Linked DNA regions of Oryzias latipes. The protein of the gene in region 1 interacts with the protein of each later gene in a pairwise test. Links are inferred from orthologs where the notes say so. Each region holds a gene or a part of one and is shown in the gene's direction. Other genes may lie near its edges. The genes, in order: psmg1 and psmg2.

Region 1 (11,257 bases):
GTTCCCAGACTCTCTTGACAAGTATTGACTGCTCTCTGTCCTTTCAGTCATTTGTCTTAAAGAGTGACAGCTAATTAAAGGGGAGCATTTCCAAGATTTAAGTTCATGCAGCCACGTGTGTGGGACCTTAAGGCTGGTTTTGTGGAACCACTGACGGTTCTTTATTAAATTTAGAAACTTTAAAATGACCCCATCTCCCACACACACAACAAACAAAGAAAACATCATTTTGACAAAAAAAAGTCTTTGACAGAAACAAACGTGGCTCCAGGTCTGTCAGGAAGACAGCTCATGCCGTGCATCCCTGCAGGAGTTTACTTGTAGAATCTGCGACTGGGTTAAAGCGGATTGTGTTTTTCGTGGGTGGTGACAATTTTCCACAAGGTGTCTTGTGCTTCATCTCTAAACCCTGCAGCCATTTAACCTTCTGAACTACACAATTTAAAGTAGCAGAAAGATTTTCTTGTGGCAAAAAAAAGATGTGTTAATCATCTCTGTTGCCATAGAGCTTGGTTTGTGTTACAAAGGAGAACATGGGAATATTACACCTTTCTCTTTATTCTGCTTCTGTGTGAAAAAAAGACACTTAAAAAAAACTCTTGTACTTTTTATTGTTGTAGATATATTTTCAAAAGTTAACAATTATTTGTAGAATTGGTGACCTTAAAACAATGGAAGACCATTAAAGAAAATACAGACAGAAGCAGAATATTTTTGAAGGTAGATTGAAAAAGTTTCAAAAGTCTAAGGATCTTAAAGCAAAGTTAATATTCAGGTCTAACTTACATAAAGCATTTTTTTGAAGTAAGTGTGTTTTTCATGGTTTGTTTATCATAAAAAGGAAGCTTTTTGGATGATTGTTGAAAGGATTTTCCAATATTTTAAGTCTGTAGCCGCAGATGAACTGAGAAATAATCTTTGCCGGTCATCAATGCATCAAATACCACAGTAAATAATGATATAAACTCATTCATGGATACTAAAATTGAAGTAAAAATGTATTTTACACTGTCATTGAGTGTTTGGTGAAACACATTACGAAACTACTCAATTTCATTTTACTTTAAATATATACTTTAGGGTATTTCGAGTACATTTTGAATAATATTTCTATTGTTTTAAATTTAGTAGCTTGTCTATTACAACAGACTAACTGCCTATCAGTGGCTCCATGAGACTTTAACAAAATACAAATAACAACCCCCAAAACAATCTTTCTATAGATTTTGTAAGATTATTGTCATGTGTATTATCAACCAATTATACAAAGCAGATGCTAATGATCGTCAGTGTCACATGAAGGTGCTTTTACTGCATCAGCAAGGTACCAACCAGACAAAAAGACAAAGCAGTCTTGAGTTTCAAGATGCTCAAGCTCATTTGAGTAACAACAAAAAAATGCAAGCAACTTTAGAATTGTATACATGGCGGTCTCCCAAGGAAACTTAATGCACCATACAAAAGAAAGATCAGGCTTTTTATTCTTCAAAATCGGATTTTTCTAGGTGTCCCATCAGCTCAGAACTGGCCCACTCTGATCATTTTTCTATTGTAAAACCGTTTCCAACGGTCTTTTAATTATAATTACACAGTTTTTAGCCAAAAATAATAATAATAAAAATCTGTTGTTTTTTAACACATAGTTTGTACAGAGTGGCAGTATTCAGTATAAATTTTCCTCTGAGTTGTGGGCAGGACCGTTGGCGTGGAGCAAACCCCCCCCCATCTCCCAAAACTGTAAGCTCTCTGTTTACGCCTGCTCCCGCTATCTCACAGCCCCTCACACCCCTAACCTGACATCCAGTGCAACAAAAATGGCGAGCAATATTTGCGTTATCCAGCTGTACGGTTTGCAGTCAGATGCCAGCTTAGATGAGGAAAATTAAGACGTACAAGGATTTAGTCGTCTACAAGTGAATGCATCAGAATGAGGAGGAACAGGGAGTTTGTGGCCCACCCGGCCAATTTTCTGTGTCACAGATTATCTGATTTTCAAACTGCGTTTTTTTTTTAATTTGTTCCTGATTCACAATGATTTAAACAAAGAAATACTCAGATGAGCGTTTTCTCAATAAATATCCTCCATTGTCAGAAAAATGCCACAAAACATTTGAAAAACACAATTTTCCTCTGAGTGGGTCTTCAAAAATAAAGGAGGAGGTACAAATCTAGAGATCAAAATGAAAAAAATAACACAACTCTTAAAAAAATGACACTGGGACATGATGACGTTCACTATAGGTATTTGGGCCTTTAGTCAGAAGAATGAATTCTGTACTCCTGACCTGAGTGCAGGCTAAATAAACTAATGGAATGAGGGACCATTAGCTTCCCTGTCCTCATTGGTGCTGGGACACAGAGAAGACAGACAGTCATTGTGGATGCTGTTGTGCACCGACTGTCTCTCCAGACTCCCCGTTTTAATGGGCAGTAAAGCAGTGACATCCCTGTTTGTCCTATTTTGACATTCCTCTCTTGCTGATTTGAGCCTGGGAGGCTTTAGTGTTTGTTAAGCTGCACAGCATCCCTTCCACTCTTCCTCTTTGCTATCAATTATATTAACAGCAGCCTGAAGTTTCCCCAGAGCATGTTGCTCCATTTTGTGATAGGAAACATTTCTGCTGTTACTTTATGGCCTCCTGATACATTATTGCACCACAGTAGAAACAGATCCCGGTTTATTATAATCCAAGCTTTGGCTTGCAATGCAGTTTGTCCCCTTAGCACAAGGAACTTTCAGGTGACAATGACGTGTTTTTTATCGCCATGATGACATCATTATAATTCTGTTTTCTCTTCAGAGCAAAGCTCACAAGAATATAAGTTATACCATGCAGTGGAAAGGATGGCTTTATTAATTTGAGCCAAAATGCACAAGTGTGACTTGGGTTATGTCTTTGGTTGGTCATGCAGAAGTTGATCCAGCATTTCTGTCTCTTTCCACTTCTTTTAATTATACATCACTGGCAAAAAGCTGGAAGAGTCATGTGGCATGTCAAGTTTACATACAGTTTGCACATGGGCTAAATATAGCACAGAAGTGTTGCTCTCAAAGCCAGGAAATGATGTGCAATCACAAAGATGTGAATTCCCTGGAAAGACATAAATGATCCTGTGTTATAGGTTATTGCCTCAGGTATAAACCTGATGGATTTTCATACAGTGCCTGTACATATTACCAGAACTGATGGCGGTGCACTGCTCACAGGGGAGGGCTTTCATGCAACTTTGAGTCAGTAAAACGAGGTTAGACAGCTATTCACATATTTCAAGTCAATCCTGAAGCAATAGTCACAAATCTAGATAAGTACTAAAATCAGTACTGATTGCTATAACAATTTATCTTGCTATAAAATGATTGCATGTTGATGATATGTCACTGGAAGTGATAAAATAAGTTTAGTGCTTTTTTTGGTGTGTGCCATAATTTGATTTTTTTAACAAATAAAAAGGGTCTGTTATCTACAGAAAAGGATTTGGGCCATTGAGAAAAAAACAAAGGGCCAAAAGGAATTGGGACTTTGATGTAAAAATTCTAACATTTTTTCCTCGGACTACTGATTTTAATCTCAGAATTTTAACTTTAATTGCAGAGTTTTGACCCTTTTCCCTCAGAATTCTGACCAATCTGACAAATTTTAAAATTAATCTAAGAATTTTTATTTTAATTTCAGAAATCTGACTTTTTTCTTATAATTTTACCTTTAATCTCAGAATTTCAACTTTAATCTCAGAATTCTGACTTTAATTTCAGAATTCTTAATTTAATCTTAGAATTTTTACTTTAATCTCAGAATTCTAATTTTAATCTCAGATTTTTTACTTTTCTTCTCTGAATGCTCACATGAATCTCAGAATTCTGATTTTAAAAAAAAAGTCAGATTTTTTTTTTCTGGCCTTTTATTATCATTTTTTATCCATGGCCCAAATCCTATTTTGTTATCTTGGTAAAATCTGATGGAAGTCTCTATAAAAATTTCTTCCTGAATGACTTATCTAAAATGCATTTTAGAGATAGACAGAAACACTGGAAGCGAATCACAGAAAAATGCACAATATACACAATATAAGAGAATTAAACACTCCTGGTTAAGTCACAACATTTATACATTACAGTACATAATATTCGCAACAATTTCAAGAAAAAAACAGTCTTTTTGGGTTTATTATTTTTATTTTATTATTCTTATTTATTTATTTTTTTGTCTGCAAATAAATAGGACTTTGATTTCAACTGTTTTGTTTAAGAAGGAATATAGAATAAATCAAAGGGACTTTATTTTGAAAACATTTCCGGTGCCGGAGGAAGTTGTAGACTGACGTCACAGCGCCTGGTGGGAAAAATCAGTTGCTAAACTTTCAGTTTCTTTCGCAAATCTTGCCGTTATGGCGACATTTTTCGGTGAAGTTTTATCTGTGTGTTCACGGGCCGTGGAAGAAGAGGACGAGGACTTTGTAGAAAACGAAGAAGATGAAGAAATCCGCAGAGAACTAGAGAAAAAGAGGTAAATCCTGTTAGTCATGTAGCACGTTTGGAAATCTTTAAATGTAGTTTGTTCACGACTTAAATAAGCAGGAAATGTGTGGAAAATGTGTAGATGGACCTCATGTACACACACACACACACACACACATACATATATATTTTCATTTGTTTATTGTTTAATATAAACATTCTGGTGCTGGTTTGTGAGGAAGCAACTGCTAGCAAAGCTAACATGACACATGTGTTTTTAGCAACAACTTTAATGAAACGCCCCCCACTCACATTAAAAATACATTTCTGAGCATGTTCTAAAACGTTGGGCAAAAAAACAACAAGAAGAGAGAGCTTGATACGTACAACTTCTGTTAGCTGATGCTTTGACCCAAATGCCCCTGTGCTGTTTAAAATATTTATTTAAAAAAATAACCAATATAGGACTTAATCTGAATTTAACAAATAATAAATGCATTTAGGATGGTAGTGTTTTGTGTGCAGTGGAACAAATGGAATCTGGAACGAATTTTCAGTCTGATTACACCAAACCGGATTCTGGTCCAGGATCAGTAACTGTTCTCTGAGACATCTTTGGAGGTGGTCTTGGTTCGTTTCCAATCGGACTGAGCTCCGGTTAACTCTGGGTTTTCTTCGGCAGAGCAACTTGACCAAAACATCCACCGTTGCCGGGCATTACAGGATGAAAACACAAATGCGGAGCAACGATGAGACACAGCAACTCATTGACATTTGGTTGGATAAATGCAGGCTCATTGAAACTACTTTTAACGAGATGGACATTGCTTCCCACACGGTTTACAATTGTAATATGTCATAAACACTTATCAGCGTTACTTCTCTCCTCAATAACCATCTTTCAGCATGCCCCCGCCGTACCAAAGTAGCAAAATAAAAAAATTGTTGTACCTAACGTTGATGCAGAGGATTAAAATTGGTCCGTGAAATATAAAGTTTCAATAAGTGAACTATTCTGACAAGAATTGCAAGAGCAAGACAATTTCTGCCTCTCATTGCTTTGCTCCACCCTTGTTTTTCCTGACCAATGAATTAAGAGATCTTTAGTCATGTGGTTTTCTTTACAAGCGTTAGTCTGGAACAGGACATAAGACATAGTTTCTGCAGAGCAGCAGTAGTTCGTCAGAATTTCACCTCTGAGTCTTGGGCGGGACTGTTGGCGCAGAGCAACCCGCCCCCTTCTTTCACCTGAGTAGGGTCGCTAATAAGTGTTTATGACAGATTTTTATGAGAAGCAATGTGTATCACGCTAAAAGTTGTTTTGATTAGCCTAAATTCACTCGATCACATTTCAATAAGTTGCCGTGTCTCATTGTTGGGGTGTTATGGCATTATTTTAAGATAATTCTGTTAGGAACTACAAGGTAGCTTTTAGGGTGACGTCACAGCAGCCCTGATGCGTGTACAGAAAAGAGTGTTTCCCCTGTGTTAAACTAAGGTCTAACAAATAAACAGTTGGACCCTTTTTTTCCTGTTTGATAACACGGCAATTGTTGCTTTAGATTTGTCCGCGGCTCATTTGTTTACATCATTCCTACTCTGTCTTTTTCGTCCGCTACTGTTTTGGTCCAGTTGTTCCTCTCCGGGAACGGACTGTATTCTGACCGAGGAATCTCAGAGTGAATCGAAGCTCAGCCTGATTGGAAACGAACCAAGACCACCTCGAAAGATGGGTCAGAGAGTGTTTCCTTCCTGGTCTCGGATCAGGGTCCACTCGGGTGTATTTAGACTGAAAATTTGTTCTGGATCATCGGGGGAAACAAACTCTGGTTGATTTCAAGTGAACCAAATGTGTCCAGTCTGAATAAGGTAGAGTCCAAACAGGGAAAAAGGGTCCAACTGTTTATTTATTAAAACATATATTTTAACACCGTTAAAAGAAGCTTCTTACGTGCTTTTCTGCGTCTCGCTACGCGGCGATAGGCAGTGCTGTTACATTGTCCTTAAAGCTTCCTTGTAGTTTATCAACAGAATTCTCTTAAAACATGCCATAACACCACAACGATGAGACACAGCAACACACTGAACTGTGGTGAATTAGGAACAACTTAAAACAGCTTTTAACGTGATCCACTTTGCTTCTCACACTGTTTTCCTGACAATCTATATCTGTCATAAACACTTATTAGTGTACCTTCTTGGCTATTTTCTAGGCAATAACCGCCCTGCAGCACGCCTCCACTGGCAAGTAAAAAGTGCTGAGCCTGACTATGATTCAGGCGTTCAAAATTTGTGATTGAAATATAAAGTTTGAATCTATCCCGACACAAACTTGCACACAAACTTGAAGTCCTACACACAACGTGCAGGACTTCCAAAACTTCTGCCTCTTGTGGCTTTTCCCCGCCCTCGTAATTCCTGGCCAATGACTGAAGAGATATTTTGTCATGTGGTTTTGTTTACTAGCTTTGGAACAGAACAGGAAAGTTCGTTAGACGACAGTCCGGTCTGAACCGAATGAAGTGGCTCGTTCAGCTTTTCCTGCAAAGACAAAAAGAAGTTACGCTGTTGGCTGAAATTTTATTTGTTTTTCTTTCATTCATGTATTTTAGAAGATCAGTTAAGTTTTTAGGTGTTAAAGCTTCAGTGGTAAATGCTGAAAACTTCCAAACCAAATAACAATGGTAATATTTTTGTATTTTGAAGGGTCATGTTTAGGTCTTCTGCCTTTTAATTTTCTGATGGGCCAAAGTTTACCTGACAACTCAAGATGTTGTGAAAATAGGAGGTGTAAATGTAAATCTACTAGATACAAAGCAAGAATTACCACACTGCGGCAGGCAGTATCTGTAAACAATTATCTCTGCTGCACCGACATACTGTCAGGTGTCTGTCTACGGCGTGAAGGTGGCTAAAACCAAACGCATTACTGCAACAGCTGACGATGAATCTTCACTTACATTTTCGTTTGAACGGCTTTTAGAGAGATGTTGCTTCTCCCGTCCCGCGTGCACATTACGCCGTTGCCTTGTCTCCAATGACTGATGGGTTTGCTTTGTTTTCCCATTTATCTCTTGAGAGTGGGCCGAACCCAAACACTTCAGTTTAAAAGCCGGCCATGCTGCAGCACAGAGTGCTTAGGAGAGCTTTCATAAAATCTGACTAATAGGTACGCCGTGTTTCAGTGGCTGTTCCTGAAATTTAAATGTAATTAGAAGCAAACAAACAAAAACAAAAAAATGTTGACCATGGCGTAAAAAACGGAAAAGTTCAAAAGCATCTTGCTTGTAAATGATAATGGAATAAAAGCTGCCCTTTTCTTTAATGATCACCAGAACATTATAAATAATTGTTTCTAAACTTCATCTCCATTCTTCAGGGAGGTAAACCTGCTCTGGAATCCCGAAACTTCGCAGTCGCTGGCGTCTGGAAACAAACTCCAGTGTTCAGATTTCTTCCTTGCTGTGGGACACAATGCTGCCAGTAAGTATTGGGGGCAAAAACGTGCGCCTCCCATTTATTTTCCTGCGCCTTTAACATTAGCAGAGGTCCTTCATAGCTGCTGGCTGGGCGTCAAACAATTTGCCAGAAAGCGAACATTTAGGTTTTTACTACAAAAGAGCAAATAGTTGACAAAAACAAGCTGCTGCCGGATTGGAGTTATGCCAAGAGTCCAACTCTTCTCTGCGTTTTATTAGATCTCCTGGGCATCATTTTTAGTTCTAAAATATTTTAAAATTTAAAGACACCACAGAGAAAGGGGAAGTTGAAGACCTTACACTTTAACAGATCATCTTTTCTCCTGAAATTGATTCGCATCCTGACAAGGATCCCCTCCCACAACTCAGCGGTAAATTTCTAATGGACTCCTGCCACTCTGCAGAAACTAGGTCTTAGAAAAAACAACACAGGTTTGTATTTATTTATGGCTAAAACGGAACTATTATGTTTAAAAGACCACTGTGAACACTTTGAAAATAGATCAAGGAAATTGATTGGAGTGGGACTTAACTGCTGCAACCAGGAAAGTTTAAGGATCTGTTTAAGATTTTCTGCTACAGTTTTGCACAAATACAGATCTTGTCATTTTAAATGGTTACTATTAAAAGCTGAATTGTCTTTTTTTCTTTTCTGAAGCACAAATAAGACAAAATATATAAATCATTATAAAAAATCATTAAAACTGATTCAACCCAGAAGGCTTCGTTTTTTATCACTCATTTGAAGAACAGTCTCTGCTTTAAAATGCTCTTTTATTCACATTTTCTAACCTAATCATATGGACACATGCATACTTATCCATTCAGACCAACGCATGTGAATCATTTCATTCAGTCACGCAACCTATTTGTTAAAAGGTGAGACACCTGAGCTCGAGTGAGTGTTTACGTTCTTCCATGGTGGATGATAAAATGTAAAAGGAAAAAGGGAGAGTGCCCCGGTCATCCCCACACCAGGACCCCCACCAAAGCAGCGGTGGTAGCCAGGACCCCCCGCCCTAGATAGAGATAACTGCCCGCCGGGCAATCACATCTGCCACCCAGGTCAGCAGGACCGCCACGGGGGCCCAATGCCAGACAGCAGGAAGGCATAGGGGGACAGAAAGTGCAAGAAAATTTCACGCACAACTTTTCTCACTTTTTTTCCCTATATATATTCACATGACAAATTTTCATCCATGCAATAGCCACAAAATGTCTGTAGTGGCTGTAGGACACGACCCTTACATGATGTTAAATTGCGGAAACGTGCAGGCCTGAAATGAATGTGTAAATTATTAACAAACCCCAAATATTAACAGATCATGAAGACAGTCATTTTCTTAAAATATATATATTTGTTTTCAGATTTGAGATGTCAAAGCAGAGCTTGTCAAAGATGGCATGAGCTGCAGCGTGAATAAAACAGTTTTCCTGTGAGCTGAATACTGAGCGGATGTGTCTTCACAGGCTTCCTGTCAGCGTACGTTCTCAGCTCGTCAAACTGGGACGCAGTTGGACGTGCGTCGGTGTGGAACGAGAGAAGCCGGGCTGTGGCTGGGCAAAGCAGCGAGGAGTCGGCATGTGTTTTCTACAGACATAAGGACATCCCATCAGTGAGTGACGCGCAGAGAAAAAAAAAAGAAGAGCATATGCTTTCTTTTGCCTAACTACCAGTAGACAGAAACGCCTCACTGTTGAACTCTTCAAAATTCTGTGTTCAGAAGTTTTTAAGTGAACACGTTATCACCAAATCAACACAAGATGGCTTGGAATCATTATTCTAACAAAGGATAGTTATGCCGTTGTTAAAATAAAGAATATTTCTGTTTTTGAAAATGGTCAGGGGTTATTTCACACCCAAAGATGAACCTGGAAATCTAGTTTCCGTTAAATAAGCTGTCAGAACACAGACTTCCAGTGGACCGCAGTGTGCGCGGAGGCGTGCGGTTACTTTCTATTTGCCTGCTGTCGGTGGCTCATGATTTAATTGGGATAAACGCAGCAAATGACCACGTTTGAAGCACAGAGCTGCTGTGGAGGCTACAGATTTATCACCTCTTCAGATTCCTGCAGGGATTTAATGTACTGAAGGACAGCAGAAGCAGCTGTGGGCAAAGAATACTGCCACAGTCTGCCATAAATTACACCGCTGCGGGAAATACAGTTACCACCAGGGCTGACTTCAACTTCAAATGACTTCCGTCTTTTACAATATTTTATATAATAATTACATTTTAATAATTATAGTTGATCCTCTTTTTATGCTTTTGTGGATTTTGAGGATATTCGTCCAGTTTAGTTTCAAAATTAAGTCTTTGAAATTTTAAATGGATATAAAGGTGGCCAGTTCCTTGGATGTTGAACAGTCGCACTTTAAACAGTGATAATCAGATGGAAATTGGGGGAGAGACTATGACTCACCTCTGTCACAAGTGCTTGAGGCAAGGCAATTTGTTTCTACATCACTTTAAAGTGCCCAGAGATGATTGCTGTAAAGTGACGAAAATTACAAAAAAAAAAGTCTATTAATTCTGTGGTGCTTTCATGAAAGCTTGATGGAATATTTTACGACTATGCAAAAGATTACAGACAGTTTGAATAATCAAAATCCTGATATTAGTGTTTCCAGTTTGATATGCAGATTGAAATGTGTATAAAGTTTAGATTGGCCAATTTTGTTATTTAATAGGAAGAAAATATTAATACTTTTTAAACTTGTTTCATTGAAGCTACATACATACATACATACATACATACATACATACATACATACATACATACATACATACATACATACATACCGGTACATACATACATACATACATACCGGTACATACATACATACATACATACCGGTACATACATACATACATACATACATACCGGTACATACATACATACATACATACATACATACATACATACATACATACATACATACATACATACATACATACATACATACATACATACATACATTGCATGCATGCATGCATGCGTGCGTACGTACGTACGTACGTACGTACGTACGTACGTACGTACATACATACATACATACATACATACTGTACATACATACACACTGTACGTACATACATACCGTACATACATATGTACATACATATGCCTTAATCACAACCGCCTGCATGGGCAAATACCAGCTCTTTCTAAAAGAAAAGCTCTCTTGATTGATGAGAGCGGTTGCCATAGAAATGTTGACCAAGACCAACTTGGACCAATCAATGCTTACTGACTTCATGTGGCTCAAACGTGGCGCAGTCCATGTTGCAAAAAAAATGGCGACTTAATTGACTTCGCT
Region 2 (11,373 bases), on another chromosome or scaffold:
AAAGAGTCTGACTTTGTTGTGCTGGCGGTCAATCTGAGCCCTGAAACCAAACACCTGATTGGTCATAGAGAGCTGGCCCTCATGAAAGACACGGCTACACTAGTCAACATCAGCAGAGGTGGGGATTAGATCTGATTTCATTTTTATGCAACCATATTTACTTTAATATGGGACTCAACAGGTTTGGTTGTGGACCAGGAGGCCTTGCTCAAGGCTCTACAATCTGGAGTTATTCAAGCAGCAGCTTTGGATGTGACTTATCCTGAACCGTTACCAAGGTAACAACGCATTTGACATCTTGAGGTTTATTTAAACGGATTAAAAAGACAAAAGCAATGATGGAATAAAAGTGTCATGTGACTGGGCTTTGCTGCTTGCTTTGTGCAGAGATCATCCTCTCCTCAGCCTTCCCAATGTGCTCCTCACTCCCCATGCAGGGACCAACACTAACACCACAGTGAGAAAGATGGTGCAGCTGATGGTGGAGAACGCTGTCGCTGTTGTAAAAGGTAGTCAGGTTCCCAATGAAGTCAAGCTTTAAAAATGCTATCATGATAATACATGGAAATTATAGAGCAAAAAATTAGTTTAGCATTATGGGGTTTTTAAGACTGATTATTTGAGGCTGCCCCATGGCTGGAAACGGGGCTGCCGGAGCCTATCCCAGCCACTTGTGGGTGAAGATAGGGGGCACCCTGGACAGGCCGCCAGTCTGTCGCTGGTTATATTACGTTATGTCTTTAAATTTACAGCTGTCATAGAGTTCTTATATAAAACAAACGTGGCCAAGAGCTGTATCAATAGATGTTTTCAAATTACTAAGCCACTGTAAACAGTAGGACTGAGAAGCAGGAAATCTAGGTGTTGGTAAAGAGTGGCTTTATACATTCTATCTCATTTATGTTTTTTTTCTTGTATGATATTGTTGTAAATTACTCAGTTGCGCATCTGTCGACATATTCAATCGTAATCTGTAGAATCACAGGTTTTCTTTGTACTTGAATAAATAAACAAAAAGACAAAAATGTGAGTCCAAGACCTCCTTTTTAATGTGACAAATGGGTTTTACCATACAAACTATTATATTATGCAATTTACCGCACAATACTATGTACAATGAACTAACATTAACATTTTTTAAATGAATAAATAACGCACTAAAAAATATGGAAGAATACTGGGGGGTATTCCAGGAAGCAGGTTTAAACTAGCCTGACTTTAACCCTGAACTCTGGCTGAAGTCCGCCTGAACTTGCTTACTCTGGGTATGTCGGTTCCAAAAGACCGGATATGAGTTGGCGTAATTACGCTGGACTTGGTAACCCTGGGTTAATGCACGTGCACAGCAAGTACATAAAGACATTCTCAATGGATCGTCGATATCCAGAGTCACCATAGAAACGTGACGAGAACAAAAGAGAGCGCTATACTTTTGTGACAGAGTCTGAGATTTAAATGACAGTGTGTGAGGATTATACGTCCATCAAAAAAGTAATACGGCTGCATCATCAGCAAAAGAAAGAGTTTCTGCTTGGAGAAAAAGAAGGAAAAAGTAAACGCACGAGTTTCAATCTCATTTCTATTTTCATTGTGACGCATATAACTTATCCAACTTAAATGAATTGCTTCTATTGGTATCAAGTAATTGAGTTAAATTTATTCAACCTAATTTCTTACGTCTACCCAACTCAATATTGTTTTACAACTCAAATTTACATATTTATATAACTAAATGTGATTTTACTCAAATGTTTTTCCATCTTAATTTATTGTACTTCTTGAACTCTCCTATGTCTAAGTTTGAGCCGGCAGATATACTCATTTTATAACAATAAAATGATTGAAACAAAATGGAATTGTATCATGACTCAAGATGTAGTTTACAATTTCTCTTACTTGGACAATACATCACCAAGAATAAGCGGCTTCTAAATAAAACCTCATCATCCTCTCCCTCCCTCACTCATGGTGCAGAAAAAATATAACATAAAAGGACAAATAACTCAGCAAAACACAGTAAAACAGCTAAACAACTAAACACAGTTGGTCAAAAACCCACACTTAAACCCAAATCCGTCCAGACATGCAAATGGAATGGTATCCCACAATTGCTTGCGGTGCAGATCTAACAGCAGCATCAAAGTTACACCTACTTAATAAAATTAATTTGAATTAAGGTAAAATAACTGTCTGATAACTAGATGTTATTTTTAAGATGACTTAACAAAATAATTGATTTATCTTAACTGAAGCAAATAATTAAGTTAGAGCAATGTAAAAAAGTTTATCTTTCCAACATCTATATGTGGTCTTATCACCCTCTCATGGTGGAAAAAGTATTATCTGAGCTTCTTCATCCACTAAATCATCTTCAAATGGACACACCATGCTGCTTCACCTCTCTGAAAACAAACTAAGCTTCAACTAAACCTGCTCCAGACCAGGTTATGTTCAGAGCATGAGTTGCCATGGCAACTTGACCTACCCTGAAACATACCTCCATTTTTGGAACCAAAAGCTGAGGTTATCAACTTCCTTAGCCTCAAAGTTACCGTGGTAACTAGAATAACCTGCTTATTGGAATACCCCCCTGGAGGGGAAAATATTAGAAACAATAAAAAATAATGTAAGCAGTAAAAAAGGAACCAAAGGGCAGAGAACAATAAAAGAAAGGTAGAAAGACTTTGAAAATGTTCTTTTTTTATTTAGTAAAATAAACAGTTTACATTTTAAAAATTCCTGTGAAAGTGGGTTATTTCTTTTTTATAAAGTAAGTAGTGTATGCAGTAATTTTCCAGAAAGAATGTTTACAACCACATCAAAAAGAAGATAAAACAAGTAACAAATATTAAAGATAGAAGCAGAATATCCAACAAAGAACCCAAATCTAACTAAAAGCCTGCTGAAATAAAAAAAGTCTTATGATTGAATGCCTCAGTCTTGTCAATGACTGTACAACCCTTGAATGTCTCGTATACAGTCAATGGTAGAAGCAGAGTCAGGGTGTTCCAGAGTTTGGCTGCCATTGCTTGGAATGTCATATCCACTCGAGTTTTAAAATGCGTGTGGGGACAACAGTTTCTATCATGAAAAGAAACAAACGAAAAAAAAGATCACACAACAGTAAAAATCATAGTGTATTAAAAACATTAAATGAACCCTGGAGAAAATTTGGGCTTTAAAGTTAATTTGACACATTTTGCTGCTGCAAGCTACGGCAAGCTACATCTACTATTACTACTACTACTAACAACAACAACAATAATAATAATAATAATATTCTTATTGTTAATAATAATAATAATAATAATAATAATAATAATAATAAAATTAATAATAATAGGCGGGGCTAACCCCCAGATCGCTACACTATTATACATTGGTAAATAAATAAATAAATAAATAAATAAATAAATAAATAAATAAAGCTTCAACGCGGACAAATTTACTTGCATTTGTTAAATAAAGTTATATAAAAAAAATAAAAAAAACGCGGACAAATTGACCATTTTATTTCTAGAGGGTGTTTTGGCTACTAGCCTGACTAAAGAAATCTAAAAAATAATGTTTTTGTTCCTAGGTGGGGGTAAACTAATAATAATCTACACACGCTACTACAAAACCAATACATTTAAAGGTTAAAATAGGTTATAATGATTTTAGATTTTCTTAAGTTTGCTTTTTTGATGAATTATAGTCAGGCATTCCTGAAGTATGCCTAAACTAGTTTCAGTCCTCAAAATCTCCACGAACGTATACAACAGAATCAGGCATGGAAACTTGAGGAAGCGTGTGCTTAGATATTACAAATTTTCAGTTGTGATTAGCGTACTCCTACATACTTTTTTTAACCGTAACTCTCTGGTTTTGTGTCAGCTCCCTGTTCAGCATCATGTTTGTTTCCTCGCAAGACTCGCCTCCTGTTTTCAAAGATTTTACCCTCGTCATGGTGAGTTTTTGTTTCACTTCTTGCAAACGTTTCTCTGTTGCAACTGCAAGCAGTTTTACTTTGTATATTACTATCAACAAGTCTGTGTTACTTACTTCTTTTTTTTTTACTTTATTCATAGCTGTAATTGGTTCCAGTCAGTTAGTTTGTAGATTGATTCTTTATTATAATTGTGGTTGTTATTGAACTCTAACAAATAACAGCAGTAAAACTGTAACACATTCGAGTAAAAGGATGTCAGAGGGAGAATGTAGCTCCTCTGCGATTTGATGTTCATGCAGAAAACACCGGGGTCAGGTCTGTTGTGATAAATGGCCTTGGCCATTATTATGACATTTAATTGGTTAAACCAAGTCACGTATGTATTAACAAATTCCATCACTTAAGATAATTTTCTCTACCAAAACTAAAGATTGTTAGGTTTAATTGACGATTGCTATTTTCTGACATTTATTTGTATTAATAATTTGGTTCCTAACACCTCCAGAATGATAAATGCATGGACATAATATTGTTTTTCAAGTTTTTGCCATAATGTTTCATAAACTAGGGTGAAATACTGCATTTTAAAGTTCTAGCTAAGTTGTTTTGATTTGAAAAAGGCATTAGAAATGTGCTGTTTTATTCGATTGTGATGTAAAAGAGTTTTCAGGCCTTCTGAAAGCCTTTCACCTCACAGTAGTAGCCGTCTTCCATATTTGTCCTGTTTCTTTGGGTGTCCCCTTAGCCGGCTGTTTCTGTTGGTAACGTGGGTCAGCTGGCGGTCGACCTCATCGTATCTACTCTTAACATGAGGAGAGTGGGCTACATGCACACAGACTGTCTCATCCCCATGGCTGGAAACAACCCCTACAGCTCCTGCAAAGAGGATGCGGAGGAGCTGCACACTCCTGCAGAAGGTAACATGGGTTCAGCAAAGTCTGTCTGATTGATACGTTTTCTATGCTGCAAATGTTGTTGCATTGATTTGTGTTGACAGTTTTTTGGGTGACTTGGTTTAAGGGTTTATGTGATAGTTTTGTATTTCGTGTACAATCACCCTTTTATGTGACAGACTGACAGATTTTAATATTTCACTGTATTGTGTAGAGCAGCGGTCCCCAACCTTTATTGCACCACGGACCGGTTTGATGTCTGGCAAAATTCTCACGGTCCGGTATGTTATATGTGGCGGACACACGCTGCAGCAACGCTACTACAGAGGCAGAGACGCGTGATAAGACGCGCTCTGCACCTTTATTTTGACACGCTAAACATTGTTCATCGCACTTGTGTCATCATCCTCTCCCCTTCCCACACTCATGGTGCTAAAATTCCCTGTGATACCAGCTCCGACAGTAACCCCTGCAGCCTGCGGAACTCCGACAGCAGACCAAACGTGCACGTGACAGACACTACAATACAACAAAGTGATGAGACTTGCATGAAAACGGTGGTATTTTCTAAACATTACAATTAACAAGAATTAGGACATGAGCAACGTCCTCTCTGCCGGCAACACTCTCTGGTCGCTATTATTATAACATTTAAACATGCCTTCAAAATAAGTGCATGGAAAATCCAACTCACCACAGTGCTGAATGGTTCGAGGGAATCTCCCGTTGAGATAAATCCGTATTTTTAGTAGGACTCCTGATACTGTCTTTTTAAATGTAGCTTTCTTTTTTGGGGGGGGAGTGGAAGGCTCCTCTTTGGTCTCCTGGCTGAGCCTTTTCCCCATGGCAAAGAAACTTTCCAAAGACGTTTGTTTTTTATTCATTTTACTAGCTCCTGGGTTTTATTTTAGCGGTAACCCATCACGTGACCGAGATCAGCGAATTGGCCTGCGTCAAGAGTGACATAGACGAATGGAACAAAGAATCTGCAGTTTTTCAAAATAAAACATCTTTCAGATTCTGAAATAAATAAAACGGAAGTCATGTCAGTTATTTTATTTTTTCTGTGTGGCCCGGTACCAAATGACCGTCTGCGGCCCGGGGGTTGGGGACCACTGGTGCAGACAAAACGTATTTCATTAAAATGTAACGGAATCTGTAAAATAAATCATTTGCAGTTTACACAGCAGCAGAAATGAAGCTGGCAGTTCTCCAGATCAGAGCCCCAATTATTCAGGTAAAGCCGTTTGATTCCCGTCAACATTTACGTGGAATTAGTCAGATTTCTGACTTGTTTGTTTACTGCAGACGAGGACCAAGCGGTTTCGCCAGCAGCTGGTATCTTGGATCAAAGCGAGCGGTTTCTCCAGAACAATGGTTCTGTCCAGCAGCCATGCCTACCAGAGAGACGACCTGCAGCTTCAGGGGTAATCCTGCAGTCTGACAGCATCCTTGTATATTTTTGTAACCATTTCCAGACATTTCTGTTCTGATGAATCTGCGTTTTCATCAGTTCTCCTCTTCGGTTCCTGGTCACACCGTCTCTGCTGGGAGTGAGTGCTGATGCTCTGAAGGAGCTGGGCTGGAGGGAGATGGAGCGAACGCCGGCCTTTCCCGGACTAACGGATGCTGAGGCCGAGCCTCGACTCTGCATCCCAGGAGGAGGCATCACAAAAGGACTTTACTCTGACAGGTACTGGGACTCCGACATGACACCTGTACCCATAACGTAAAAAAAGCCCTCTTTGCTGTCCTGGTAATTGGCCATTAACTGTTGTTGAACTTTCATTGTTAAATTACAATTTATTGTAATTTGGGAATTGAAACCAAAGGAATACAAAAATATAAATTGAGATTCTCTGTTTTAAAGACTTCAAGAAGAAGGTAGTTTGGGTTTAGCGTTTAGCGCTCTTTGCAGAAAACACCTCCTGCCTGAAATCCAGGCTGTAAACACAGAGAGAAAGTTAAAAATTCTTAAAATATGAAAAACAAAATGGTTTCTTAAAATAAAAAAATCTGCCAGTAGGTAAGAAAATGGTCTCAACAAGAATTGTGGGGAAAAATCTAGTCACTTAGGCATGTTTTCTTAAACTAACATTATTTTGCTATTGATAAGTTTCCTTGATAAGATTAATTTATTGCAAAGCAGAAAATAAGAATTTTTTGCTTGTCACCCCCCTTGAAAGCTGGCTGGGGAGAGCAGGGATCGATCCACCAACCCTTCGGTTGTTGAACGACCCGCTCAATGGCATCTGAGTTGTTTTATTTAAAATTCACTGTGGTAATGTACAGAAACTAAAGTACAAAGAATGTGTCTCTGTCCAAATATTTATGGTCCTGACTGTAGATCCCAAAAATGGTCTTAAAAATGTCTGTAGCCATGCGTGAACGCAGGTTTTTAATGTTAAACCTTAAATGTGCATTTATCTTTTCATTTGAAGTTCGTCCACCGCCAAGCGTGTTTTAGACGCAGCTTCAGAGCCAAAAGGTCGCTACAAACCCGGATATTGAGTAGATGGCTATTAAAAGTAAATCATAATATCAGCATGGTTTTTTAAAGCCTGAATTTAAGAAAACATGGCTTAATCTTATTGATTCATTTAGTCTTTTTGTTTAGTCACAAAAAGTTTAGAATAACTTCAGAACGTAACAACTGCAGCTCTTGTTTGTGTCTCTGATCTCATGCTGTGTGTAGTTGTGCAGAGGATCTCCGGCTCGCCGTCTTGCTGCTCTTCTGTTCTGAAGGAGACAACATTCCCGACGCCTTTGCTCTGGTGAATCATCTCAACGACTGGCTTCATCTGCTGGACAACCAGGTTTGAAAGACAGAAAACCTGCTGATATGATGAAGCTCATCCAGTGTAGAGGTTTGAATTAACAGATATATATGAATCATTTTTCTTATTTCCATTTTTAGGACCAGGAGCCAAATAGCAGATGGAAAATTCCTACTTCTTGGAGTCTTCTGTTTGGAAGTGGAATCCCTCCTGCGCTCTTCTGATACAAATTTCATCTTCATCTTTTATTTAACCAATTAAAAGCCTCAAAGCAGCTTTTTCTTTTACACAAAACTCCTGCTGCAGATGTCGAACAACACCGTCAAACATCACTGACCCCTTAAAGATCTCCCTTTTCCTCAAACTTCATTCACATCAGCATGTCAGGAAATGGAAAGCACTTCCAGGATAATATCAATGTTTTCCACAATAAAATATTTTCATGGGAATTGCGTTTGTGATTACATTTTACTCTCACTTCGTCCCGTCTCCTCCCTCCTAACTGAAAGTGCTTGGCCGGCTGCCATGCTGTATTCCTGGCAGTCCCACCTATGAGTAATTTGATTCCTCACAGGCCGGAATTACGACACAATGCTCGTTCCGTTATCCAGCAGGTTTGTGGATTTCTCTTCCAGCCTTGTTTTAGCTGCTTCCTGCAAAGAAGAGATCATTCCCCTCAATAACTATGTAGAGTTCAACTCGGAACAAACTACAAAATGTGTGTAAATTAAGCAAATACAAGTTTTATTAGAAGATTACACAAAGAAAAAAAACTTGACATTTCCAAAAGAGAGCAGCTCACAACAGCTGTCATTTCTTCAACATTAGCTCTCCCTCTTATTTTTTTGTCTTTACAGGCAAAAAAATACATCTTTACTCATAATAATAAAAAGAGTACTATGTACATGGTGGAAACACGTCATGCCACTGGTATTTGTGGAAGGAAGCGGTGATTGTCATCAGACCACCCCACATCACCTAAAAAACTTTCAAGTAATTTCTTTAAAAAATAAAAAATAGAACCTTTTTTTTATTATGTGTTTGAAATAGATTTTTTTTTCTCCAAAAATACACGTATGACCAGCATTACAAATTGGCAATGCATAGCCTATATTTTCAGTCTCATAAAAGCAAAGGAGCATGAAAAACTGCTGGAAGGAAACAAAAAAAGTCTTATTTGGATGAGGAAGTAGCACTAAAGGTGTGTTGAGTTGTCTGGAGGTAAACCGCTGGTGTTTGTCTTCAAAGAATGTCAAAGTGTTCTCTGTAAACAGTCCAGTGAGGATCGGTGACAAATATCCCCCAAATCTTAAGGTCAGGAGGAGGGCTGCTGCCGATAAAAAAGGAAGAATGGAGTTGTGCTACGTGACGGCTAAAGAGAACAAAAGGGAAGTAGAGAGGAAGAAGAATGCAGAGGTGAGGAGAGGGTTGGAGTTCCCTGCCGGTGTTGGCTTTGTTGCCGGAGCTGTAGCGGTGTGGCTGCAGGTGGCGGAGGTTAGCAGTCGCTGGTTTTCACCCTGTCACCGCAAGGAAAGCAGAAGAAGTGTAAGAATAAAAATGAATCAACAACAGCTATAGATGCAGAGCAATCAAAGACACTCATGCCACGTTTAGCAATCAAGCCAAAGCAGACGTTTCTGTAGAGCAACAGTTCTGCTTTGAGGCTTTTAGCTGCAGTGGAGCAAACAGACACAAACAACTGTACATGTATTTAAAAAAAACAACATTGTTTGTTTCAAAAACATGTGTCAAGGATTATAGAATATTATACCATGGTCCGGTTGAATACTCGATTCTGATTGGGTGCTGGGTATGCATTAAAACCTGATAACCGCACGGTGAAAAAAGAAGTTCGGTCAGCTAGCTAGTTTTGTATCACTGCGCCGGCTTCTTTAAAACAATGATGCGCCGCATCACGTAACATATAGTCCGCTTTTTGTGAGAAAAGCGATCCAAATCGGAAAATAAAACGAGAATTAAGGACTAAAACCTGGTTAATATGTATTGCTTTTGTAACTGACCATGGTAAGAGCGGGTTAATGGCCTTCGAAGTGTGCGTTTATTACTTTTTAATGCACTTCGCGGAAGCAACCGTCCGACGCGAAGGCTTCCACGGCGTGCGTTAAAAAGTAATAACCGCATACTTCGTCGGCCATTAACCCTTACTTATCCAACAAATATTATGAGGCTTCTTTTTGCTTTGCCATTGAGTGTGTATGAGAAATTGACCGAGCCAGCGTGACGTCATCCATAGAAAACAGTGGGTTTACTTCCAGCTCCGACCAAATGAAGTCACGCACGCCGCCATGTTGGAACCAGACCATGTCAGTAAGCTGTGATCGATCCGAGCCGGTCTGATTCAACGTTTCTATGGCAACCACTCTCTCCAGTCAGGAGTGAGCTTGTTGGAAGTCAACACCTCTACCAATGCCAGAATTCCAATGTTCGACATGAGATCACATACTTTTATTGAGGCATCTGATTGGTCGGTTTATAACTTGAAAAACTTGCACTTGTGGAAAAAAATTAGGATTAGCAAGAACATGTTAAAAAAGGGTAACAGAGTAGGAACGGTTATTCTGACCAATAGAATGAGTAACAGCTGTTTATTTCTCAACAGAAGTCTATGGGATTTTGGCTTCTTGGAGCCAGCGGGTACTTCCTGTTTGGAACACCAGGGGGAGGAGTCGCTGAGTCCACTTCTCATACAGTCAATGGTTGAAACTCAAACGCCGTTTTGACCAAAGGGGGCGCTGCATCACTGACAAGACACGACTCTAGAGACTGATTCTGTTTTAAGTTCAGGTCGACCTAACATGGCAAATATTAAAAATGGGAGCTGGAGTTCTTTTCCAACCATTTTGATGATGCGACAGGGCTCCAGACCAAAATTTTGCGACCAAAATTTGAGAGTGCGACTGAATTTTACATCCAGTCGCACATGTGCTACCAGTAAATTTGCCTCCCCCACCCTCCGTATTTTTTTTATACATTAAACGTGGAAGGGGAACGTCAATGATCAATGAAATGAGCAATGAAATGATCAATGAGACGTGAGCGCACACGCACGCAAACACACACACTCACACACATACTCATGAGACACGAGCACACACTCGGGGGAGGGGCCTAGAGATAATCGAGCGCGCGTAAACATCTGTGGGAATATCATCACAACCTGATATGTGCGTGCGTCTGAGCTATGAGAAAGCGAACTATTGATTCGTTCTTCCGACCTGCGGCTAGTGTACACCTTTTCATTGTCGTGCGCGGAGCTCACAAAGCAACCAATCACAGTGGGGTAAATGACTCTTGGGGACGTGACCAGTGTTGGTCCTGGGCGGTTTTGGTTCTAAATTTGCGGGTAAAAATGGCTTTGGGCGGGTATGCATAGTTTGGGCGGTTTTAGGGTCGGTTCGGCGGGTTTTTCCCCCTCATGAATATATAATAGCGGACTAAGTTAAGCTGGGTGGCTGTTGAAGTCTTATGTTCTGAAGCTCCGTGAACGCACCAGGTAGAGACGTTTAATGGGTTCTGTCATCGAACCTGTTGTTGGGGGAGGTCATACATAGGTTATAGCGGATTAAGAAAATGAATGGAAGAAGGCCGGTCCGCCGAAGAAATATTCAACACTGTACTCCTTTTATTAATAGTCTGAACTATCTTTGATTTTGAGAAATGTTTTATTTTGAAAAAGGGGAAAAAATCTACAAAAGCTGTATATTGTTGTTTCTCCCAATCATAGATAGATGGATAGATGGATAGATGGATA

The links.
Region 2: the proteins of psmg1 (region 1) and psmg2 interact in binary tests that used the Homo sapiens proteins (3 or more experiments, as listed by UniProt). The link is inferred for Oryzias latipes from reciprocal best matches to the Homo sapiens genes PSMG1 and PSMG2.

Annotation. Positions count from the first base shown.
Region 1 is NC_019872.2:24,920,936-24,932,192, reverse strand, and holds the start of psmg1 (proteasome assembly chaperone 1), read left to right. Parts: upstream 1-4,296; 5' UTR 4,297-4,386; coding exon 4,387-4,505; intron 4,506-7,835; coding exon 7,836-7,939; intron 7,940-9,405; coding exon 9,406-9,551; intron 9,552-11,257. UniProt on the Homo sapiens protein: Chaperone protein which promotes assembly of the 20S proteasome as part of a heterodimer with PSMG2.
Region 2 is NC_019869.2:7,086,625-7,097,997, reverse strand, and holds psmg2 (proteasome assembly chaperone 2), read left to right. Parts: upstream 1-3,740; 5' UTR 3,741-3,892; coding exon 3,893-3,949; intron 3,950-4,676; coding exon 4,677-4,848; intron 4,849-6,002; coding exon 6,003-6,061; intron 6,062-6,132; coding exon 6,133-6,251; intron 6,252-6,337; coding exon 6,338-6,517; intron 6,518-7,519; coding exon 7,520-7,640; intron 7,641-7,741; coding exon 7,742-7,825; 3' UTR 7,826-8,050; downstream 8,051-11,373. Other genes in the region: uncharacterized protein LOC101168130, read left to right, coding at 1-118, 182-278, 388-541. UniProt on the Homo sapiens protein: Chaperone protein which promotes assembly of the 20S proteasome as part of a heterodimer with PSMG1.